Nothobranchius furzeri: one gene and its partner. The protein of the gene in region 2 purifies or fractionates together with the protein of the main gene of each other region. This does not show direct contact. Links are inferred from orthologs where the notes say so. Each region holds a gene or a part of one and is shown on either strand. Other genes may lie near its edges.

Region 1 (3,652 bases), on a different chromosome or scaffold from region 2:
AGCCTCAGATCCACACCTGTGTTAGCCTCGGATCCACACCTGTGTTAGCCTCGGATCCACACCTGTCTCAGGTCTGAGCCTCAGATCCACACCTGTGTTAGCCTCGGATCCAAACCTGTGTGAGCCTCAGATCCACACCTGTCTCAGGTCTGAGCCTTGGATCCACACCTGTGTTAGTCTCGGATCCACACTTGTGTGAGCCTCAGATCCACACCTGTGTGAGCCTCAGATCCACACCTGTGTTAGCCTCGGATCCACACCTGTGTGAGCCTCGGATCCACACCTGTGTTAGTCTCGGATCTACACTTGTGTGAGCCTCGGATCCACACCTGTGTTAGCCTCGGATCCACACCTGTGTTAGCCTCGGATCCACACCTGTGTGAGCCTTAGATCCACACCTGTGTGAGCCTTGGATTCACACCTGTGTGAGGTCTGAGCCTCAGATCCACACCTGTGTTAGGTCTTAGAGAACTTCAGATCCACACCTGTGTAAGGTCTTTTAGAACCTCGGTTCCACACCTTTCTGAGGTCTGAGCCTCGGATCCACACCTGTCTGAGGTCTGAGCCTCGGATCCACACCTGTGTGAGGTCTGAATGGATGTAAACAGGTGTCTCTAACCTCTGTATGAATTTTGTCCCTCTGGCTGCTCCGTACTCACACCTTCTCTCTGGTCGTGTCTCAGGCTGTCTGCAGGTCTGCTCCGTCAGGCCACCTACACCACCACCCGTCTGGGGATCTACACCATCCTGTTTGAGAAGATGACAGGAGCCGACGGCCGGCCACCCAACTTCATCTTGAAGGTGAGATCTTGTCCCACAGCTGGTGGAAGTAAGTCAAACTTTATTTATAAAGCACCTTTGTACACACAAGGGGCTGAACAGGTGTGGGTCATCGTTTACACCAGAACACACAGATACAATCAGAGGCCCTAAGGAACGTGTAGAACAAAGCCCTGAGGCTGGTGTCCTGGTTGAGCTGTCCTTCTCAGGTGAGAGGTCTACCTGTGCTTTTGCTCCTCCCACAGGCTCTGATTGGGATGACAGCTGGAGCCACTGGAGCGTTTGTGGGAACGCCAGCAGAGGTTGCTCTGATCAGGATGACGGCTGATGGCCGGTGAGACATGAGCTCATGGTCTGTGTGTGTGTGTGTGTGTGTGTGTGTGTGTGTGTGTGTATGTGTGTGTGTGTGTGTGTGTGTGTGTGTGTGTGTGTGTGTGTGTGTGTGTGTGTGCACGTGCGAATCTGATCACAGGACAGTTTATTTGTGTCTCCAGGCTTCCTGCTGACCAGAGGAGAGGGTACACCAATGTCTTCAACGCTCTCGCTCGCATCACCAGAGAGGAGGGAGTGACTACACTCTGGAGGGTCTGTGTGTGTGTGTGTGTGTGTGTGTGTGTGTGTGTGACAATGTGTGTGTTTGTGTGTGTGTGACAATGTGTGTGTGTGTTTCAGGGGTGTGTTCCCACCATGGCCCGGGCGGTGGTTGTGAATGCAGCTCAGCTAGCCTCCTACTCTCAGTCCAAACAGGCTCTGCTGGACTCAGGTGATCATCTTACACACACACACACACACACACACACACACACACACACACACACACACACACACGCACGCACGCGCACACACATACATACAGACAGTATGTATGATTAGTCTAAAACTTGGTCATGTATCTTCTGCCATCAACACAAACTTAAGGAATTTGGGTGTTTTGACCAACCAATGTCTCTTGAAGGCCACGTTGATCCGAAACTGTTTTTATCATTTAAGAACTTGAAATGGTTCTCCATCTCCTCCCCGTCTAGATAACTGTAACACACTCTCCACATGTTCTCACAAAAAAGCCCTTGACCGCCTTCAGGTGGTCCAGATCTCTGCAGCTAGGCTCCTAACTGGAGCAAACAGAAGAGCTCACATCACTCCTGTTCTGGTGTCTCTGCACTGGTTACCCGTTAACTTTAGAGTTCTGACTAGAACTTTCAGGGCTCTACATGGTCAAGCTCCTCCCTATATATATATATATCTTAGTAAATATTGTATTTGGTGAGAGATAAACTTTATTGTATTTATCCTAGTGGATCTATAATTAAACGGATAAACTAGTAGTAGCACATCCAACGTCAAGGAAAGTAAAAAGTTATTATCAGGAGAGGGAGAATGTTTAAGTGGTTAGCAGCAGTGTGCTAGTCGATGGCCCCCTCCATGAGGCCACCACAGCTCAGCAGAACATCGTTGTAGCTTCTTCTGGGGAGAAAAACACTTACAGAGAAAATAAAGTTAACAGCTGAAATAGCAGGAAATAATACAGTTAAAGAGCAGATTGTAGAATAAAGTAGTAGAGTGTGAGAAGTGGTCAGTGTGTCCTCCAGCAGTCTAAGCCTATAGCAGCATAACTACAGAGATAACTCTGGATAATCTATCCTATTTAGATGGAGGCATGTTGGAGGCAGGGCAAGGGAGAGCCGTCTTTACCGACTGTACACTCCACCTCCCTCTACTCCCCCACTTGTCCAGATTTAGGCTAACATCAGATTTTAACCATAGACCCTATCACATAAAAATGTTTTAAGCCTATTCTTAAAAGTAGACAAAGTGTCTGCCTCACGGACTAAAGCTGGGAGCTGGTTCCACAGGAGAGGAGCCTGATAACTAAAAGATCTGCCTCCCATCCTAATTTTAGATATTCTGGGAACCACCAGTAAACCTGCAGTCTGAGAGCGAAGTGCTCGGTTAGGAACGTATGGACCAATCAGATAACTGATTGGTTGGGCAAACTCCCACGCACCCTTCAGGACCACCCTAAGGGTATGGAGATGGTCCAGTGTTCCACAGCGAGGATGAAAAACACATTGCTCCTCCTGAATCCAAAGTTTCACATTCCGCCGGACCCTCCTCTCCAGAACCCCTTAATAGACCTTACCAGGCAGGCTCAGCAGTGTGTTTCCCATGCAGTTAGAATGCATCCTGCGGTCCCCCTTTTTAAATAGGGAGACCACCACCCCGGTCCTCTAATCCAGTGAAACTGCCCTTGATGTTCACGCAATATTCCAGAGCCACTTTAGCCAACCCAGCCCTACGGCATCCAGAGCCTTAAGAAACTCTGGGAGGATTTCATCTCACCAAACTCCTCTCACGCCCAGGTTTTTGCCTCTGTGACCACCGGGGCCACATTCCGCTTGGCGTGCTGGTACCCATCAGCTGCCTCTGAAGTCCCACAGGCCAGAGAGACCTGATAAGACTCTTTCTTCGGCTGGACAGCCTCCCTAACCATCTGTGTCCACCAGCGGGTTCGGGGATTGCTGCCACGACTGAGACTGATGACCCCGTGGCCACAGCTATGATCGGCAGCCTCAGCAATAGAGGCACGGGGCCTGGCCCACTCGGACTCACTGTCTCACGCACACCCGAACGCAACCAAATTGTCCACAATAGAGGCCAGCCGATATATCTATTCAATTTTTTCTACATTGGCCATCGACTGAAATATTTTTATAAGCTGATAAAAGAATCAGGCCTTTTCTCATTGTTGACACCTGAGGCAATATTCCACCCCTTAGGAAAACGTTGTCTGTTAGATTTCCCAGAGTTAGATAAGTGAGAAAATGGACTTTGTAGCCAACAAGCTCAGTCATTCTCCTGATCTGGAAGCAGT
Region 2 (3,652 bases):
ACAAGGGTCCATGTGAGACATAATAACAGCAGCATGTCTTAATGATCTCCAAACGTCATCTTTGTAGGTTTTTATTTTATTCACCTTTTCGAGATGAGGGAACCGTTATCCTGACAAAGCTGGAGGGACTTTGCTCCTCCGAGGCAGCCTCCACCAGACAGTAGGCCTCAGGGGACCAGTTTAAGTAAAGCCCTCTCCTCCAGTAGATTCGGTTTGGTCGGAGAACTTTCTCTATGAAAGTAAGGTGACAGAGTTCTACTATATTGCTGTTTGCTTAAGAAATGATGAAATTCTTTACAATGAAACAGAAGTTGCTCATTTTACCTCTTCCACCGAGCAAATAGGATGAGACTTCCAGCAGGCGGCTGATCTGCCTGGACCAGAAATCCATGGGGAAGTAGGGCAGCTCATACAGACGCACAATCACCTCAGAGTTCTCACAGTGAGGCAGCTCGATCACCGGCCTGTGTTTGGACAAGCTGCAGACAGCAGGGTGAGATGCTATAAAACTCAAGACTCTTTAATCGGGGCAAGTTCCAAAAAAGTGAAACTTACCTGCTAGGAACAAGAAGCTGGCCGTCCCCAAAGGGAAGAGCAATCAGAAACTTCTCCAGGAGTTTAAAGAACTGGACCAGGTGGCTCTTTGGGAAACATTTGGTCTCAAACAGAAACCTTTCCACCACGGATCGCTGAATAACTCCTTTGGGTTGCTCCCAGAGACTACAGCTCTTTAGCATCCCTCTCTGTAAAGAAGACAGAACTACTTACATGAGAGTTTTTCAGGGCATTTGAGGACAACTTAGATAGTTATATCTAAAAATGTTAGCTAAGGAAGTTTAAATAACCAACACCAGATGTGTGGATTTCACAGCTGAGCTGCTGGTTGGTAAAGGTGTACAGAGTCGGTCCATAAAGGAAACCAAGAAGACTAAAGCTATTTTTGAATTAAGGAGTTCTATCAAGAATTACATCAGACTCTTTACCTACAGTGGAATAAAATATGATAAAATTACTGTAACACGCCAGCAGGACCAAGTTGCTGCTAACAGACACTAGACAAACTCCGGTTTTTCACCCATAAGTTGGAGGATATTATAAACTAACCATTTCACTAAAACAGTATAGGTGAGAGTTTGGCAGACAAGTCTGGTTGGGTTTCATTTGATAATAGTTAAACATGGTTTCCTAGACACATTTAAATGGAGGTTAATTACAAAAAAAGAGGGACTCAAGGACTTGACCCTGTGGAACACCAATAATAACCTAGCATGGATGGGATTGGAGACTAAAGTCTAGTGTGTGGTTTTAGAGGTATAATTGTAGCTAAAGCTGGCTGGTAGTCCAGCATTGCCATGACAAACTAGACAATCAAGAGGTGGGTTATAAAGAGGGACCATTTCTCAATGAGACTATGTTCTTGGCTGGGACAGCAGAAAGTCTGTTCTATGGAGTACTGGAGGACGAAGACTGCATATGGAACAACCATACTCCATTACATCTTGGCAAAAAGCTTTTATACTACGGTTACAAAAAGGACCTGAAAGAACAGTAAAATTCTGGTTTGTCCCTTAAATATCAAAATAACAAGGAAAACCTTTTGTTTGTAGAATATTTGGTCAAATTTTTAATGCTACAGTGTGTCTTTCATTTATCTTTCTTCAAAACTGGTAAAATACCAGCATTTCACGCTGTTACATGAAGAAAAATAAGTTCGTTTTTTATCAAAACAGATATGCAAACACTGGTTTTATTCTGATAGTGGGTTAGCTAATTACCTGTCGTGGTTTAGTGAAGAGTCAGAAAAAGAGAAAAACAAACACAACCATTTCCCAGTCTACACACAATTATCTACAATAACAGACAATTTTATATTTATTTATTTAGACTTATTTGTATTTTTGATAATGAAACACTAGTTAGGAGCTTTGTCTTCCACAACTTTCCATTGGAGGTAGAACCATTTGCGATGCAATGCATTATGGGATAGCTTGCTGGCCCAAGTCCACAGAAGGCTGCGTTGATGCGTCCTCTATACAACGAGCAGAGCAAAAACACATCCTGGTATTTTTCTCCTTTTTTTCTTTATTTTCCTTTTTTTCTTTCTTTTTTTCCCTTCCTGGTATTTTAAGAGTACTTGCCATGATGCATACTCAGGTTTGGAACAGTACTTAAGCCAAAGTTGATGAGGTTTCACAAGGACGTGAGTGCACAAGTTCAGACGAGCATGCATGCTGATAAAAGACCCTGGTGTCAAAAGCATCAGACTGAAGGGAAAGAGCGTGATGCTAATGAAAACTCAGCTGCCATCAGCAGGTCACTGGTAGCCCAGAACCAGAATGAAACGTGTAAATGTTGTGATGATTGTTAACGTACTCAGCTACTTTTTATTTCAAAAAACGAAACAGCTTGGCTAGGGTCAGGGTAATGGACTTACCTCAGACAAGACGTTGCAGAGCCACTGTGGGATGAGAAAGTAGAATTCCTGCAGCTGAAGCGCAGGGTCATCAAAGTGCAACAGAATCCCTACAACAGCAAAAACAAATCAAAGACTTGATCAGTTTATTCACAACAATCTGTAACTAATCAGCAGGTGAGGTTCTAGATAAAATCTTTCATTTTGTGTTCCTCATTCCAAGAACGCTCCATTCTGACAGGCTGGAGTAAAGGGGAAAAATCAACACGGAGTTTTACAATAAGGAAACAATTCACCAAGGGTTTTATACCAAGTTTCTTCATATAAACAAACAATTCTAATTTGATCTGATGAATATGAGATTTTATCGTAGATTTGGCATTTTTATACACAGCTGTGCTCCTAACTGACCAACTTCGCTGAGGAAGTGGATAGCTTGAGGCAGTTCGGCTTCCTCCAGCTGCAGCTGACTCTTGTGGATGAGCTGCAGAAGCTCGCTGTGCCTGAGAACGGGGAACTCTGGGGGGACCTTGGTCCTCTCCTGCAGAATCCTGCGCTCCAGCTCCACATAGCTGTCTGGCACCAGCTGACCTATAACTTCCTGGCCTTGGATCTGGCAAATAAAGAGCAGATGACTTGAGATTAGACGATAAAACAAGAAATACATTTATCTGCTTCCTTTTTACCTTGAAGCTGGTGACCTCCCGGATGATAGTCTTACGGAGTTTGACGATGGAATCCGAGTCCTCGCAGGCAGAGACTATGTGATGGTCTCTGATGGCCGGGAAGCCCTGATAGTTCAGCAGCTCCTGTCGAAACTTACCGAGACAAGCCTGGAGCTGCGCTTCCTCACTCACATCTGTGTGTGTCCCCACGAGGATGACTGGGGACAGCGGAGCCACAGCCTGAAGTAAAGATGCAGGAAAACCATTCTCATCAATGTAGTTTAAATCAGGAAGTGGTACCTCTGATCTCTGTCAGCAGCACAGAGAAACAAGCTCAGCTTTGGTCTGTGGCTCACTTTAATGTTGAAGAGCCAGGGTTTGAGAGCATCCACCTGACTGGCTCCTTTGCTCAGGTTGTAAACAACCAGGTAGAGAGCTCTGGATGTCAGAAAGTGGGGGTGAGAGCCACTGAAGTCCTCTCCACCTGCAGGTTAAGGACATTAATAGAAATGATAGTTGGAAGAATGAGTTTATAAATGAGGCCCCTGATCTCTTTGATGACCTCTAGTCTAGT

Evidence for each region. The genes of interacting proteins can lie anywhere in the genome.
Region 1: the proteins of lrrk2 (region 2) and slc25a11 purify together in Homo sapiens (co-immunoprecipitation; 3 studies listed by IntAct, with this or other methods). This does not show direct contact. The link is inferred for Nothobranchius furzeri from reciprocal best matches to the Homo sapiens genes LRRK2 and SLC25A11.

What each region holds. Positions count from the first base shown.
Region 1 is NC_091742.1:101,986,723-101,990,374, reverse strand, and holds part of slc25a11 (mitochondrial 2-oxoglutarate/malate carrier protein), read left to right. Parts: intron 1-683; coding exon 684-801; intron 802-1,025; coding exon 1,026-1,114; intron 1,115-1,274; coding exon 1,275-1,365; intron 1,366-1,452; coding exon 1,453-1,543; intron 1,544-3,652. UniProt on the Homo sapiens protein: Catalyzes the transport of 2-oxoglutarate (alpha-oxoglutarate) across the inner mitochondrial membrane in an electroneutral exchange for malate.
Region 2 is NC_091744.1:48,478,176-48,481,827, reverse strand, and holds part of lrrk2 (leucine-rich repeat serine/threonine-protein kinase 2), read right to left. Parts: intron 3,563-3,652; coding exon 3,435-3,562; intron 3,319-3,434; coding exon 3,100-3,318; intron 3,027-3,099; coding exon 2,825-3,026; intron 2,524-2,824; coding exon 2,435-2,523; intron 744-2,434; coding exon 556-743; intron 480-555; coding exon 325-479; intron 232-324; coding exon 85-231; intron 1-84. UniProt on the Homo sapiens protein: Serine/threonine-protein kinase which phosphorylates a broad range of proteins involved in multiple processes such as neuronal plasticity, innate immunity, autophagy, and vesicle trafficking.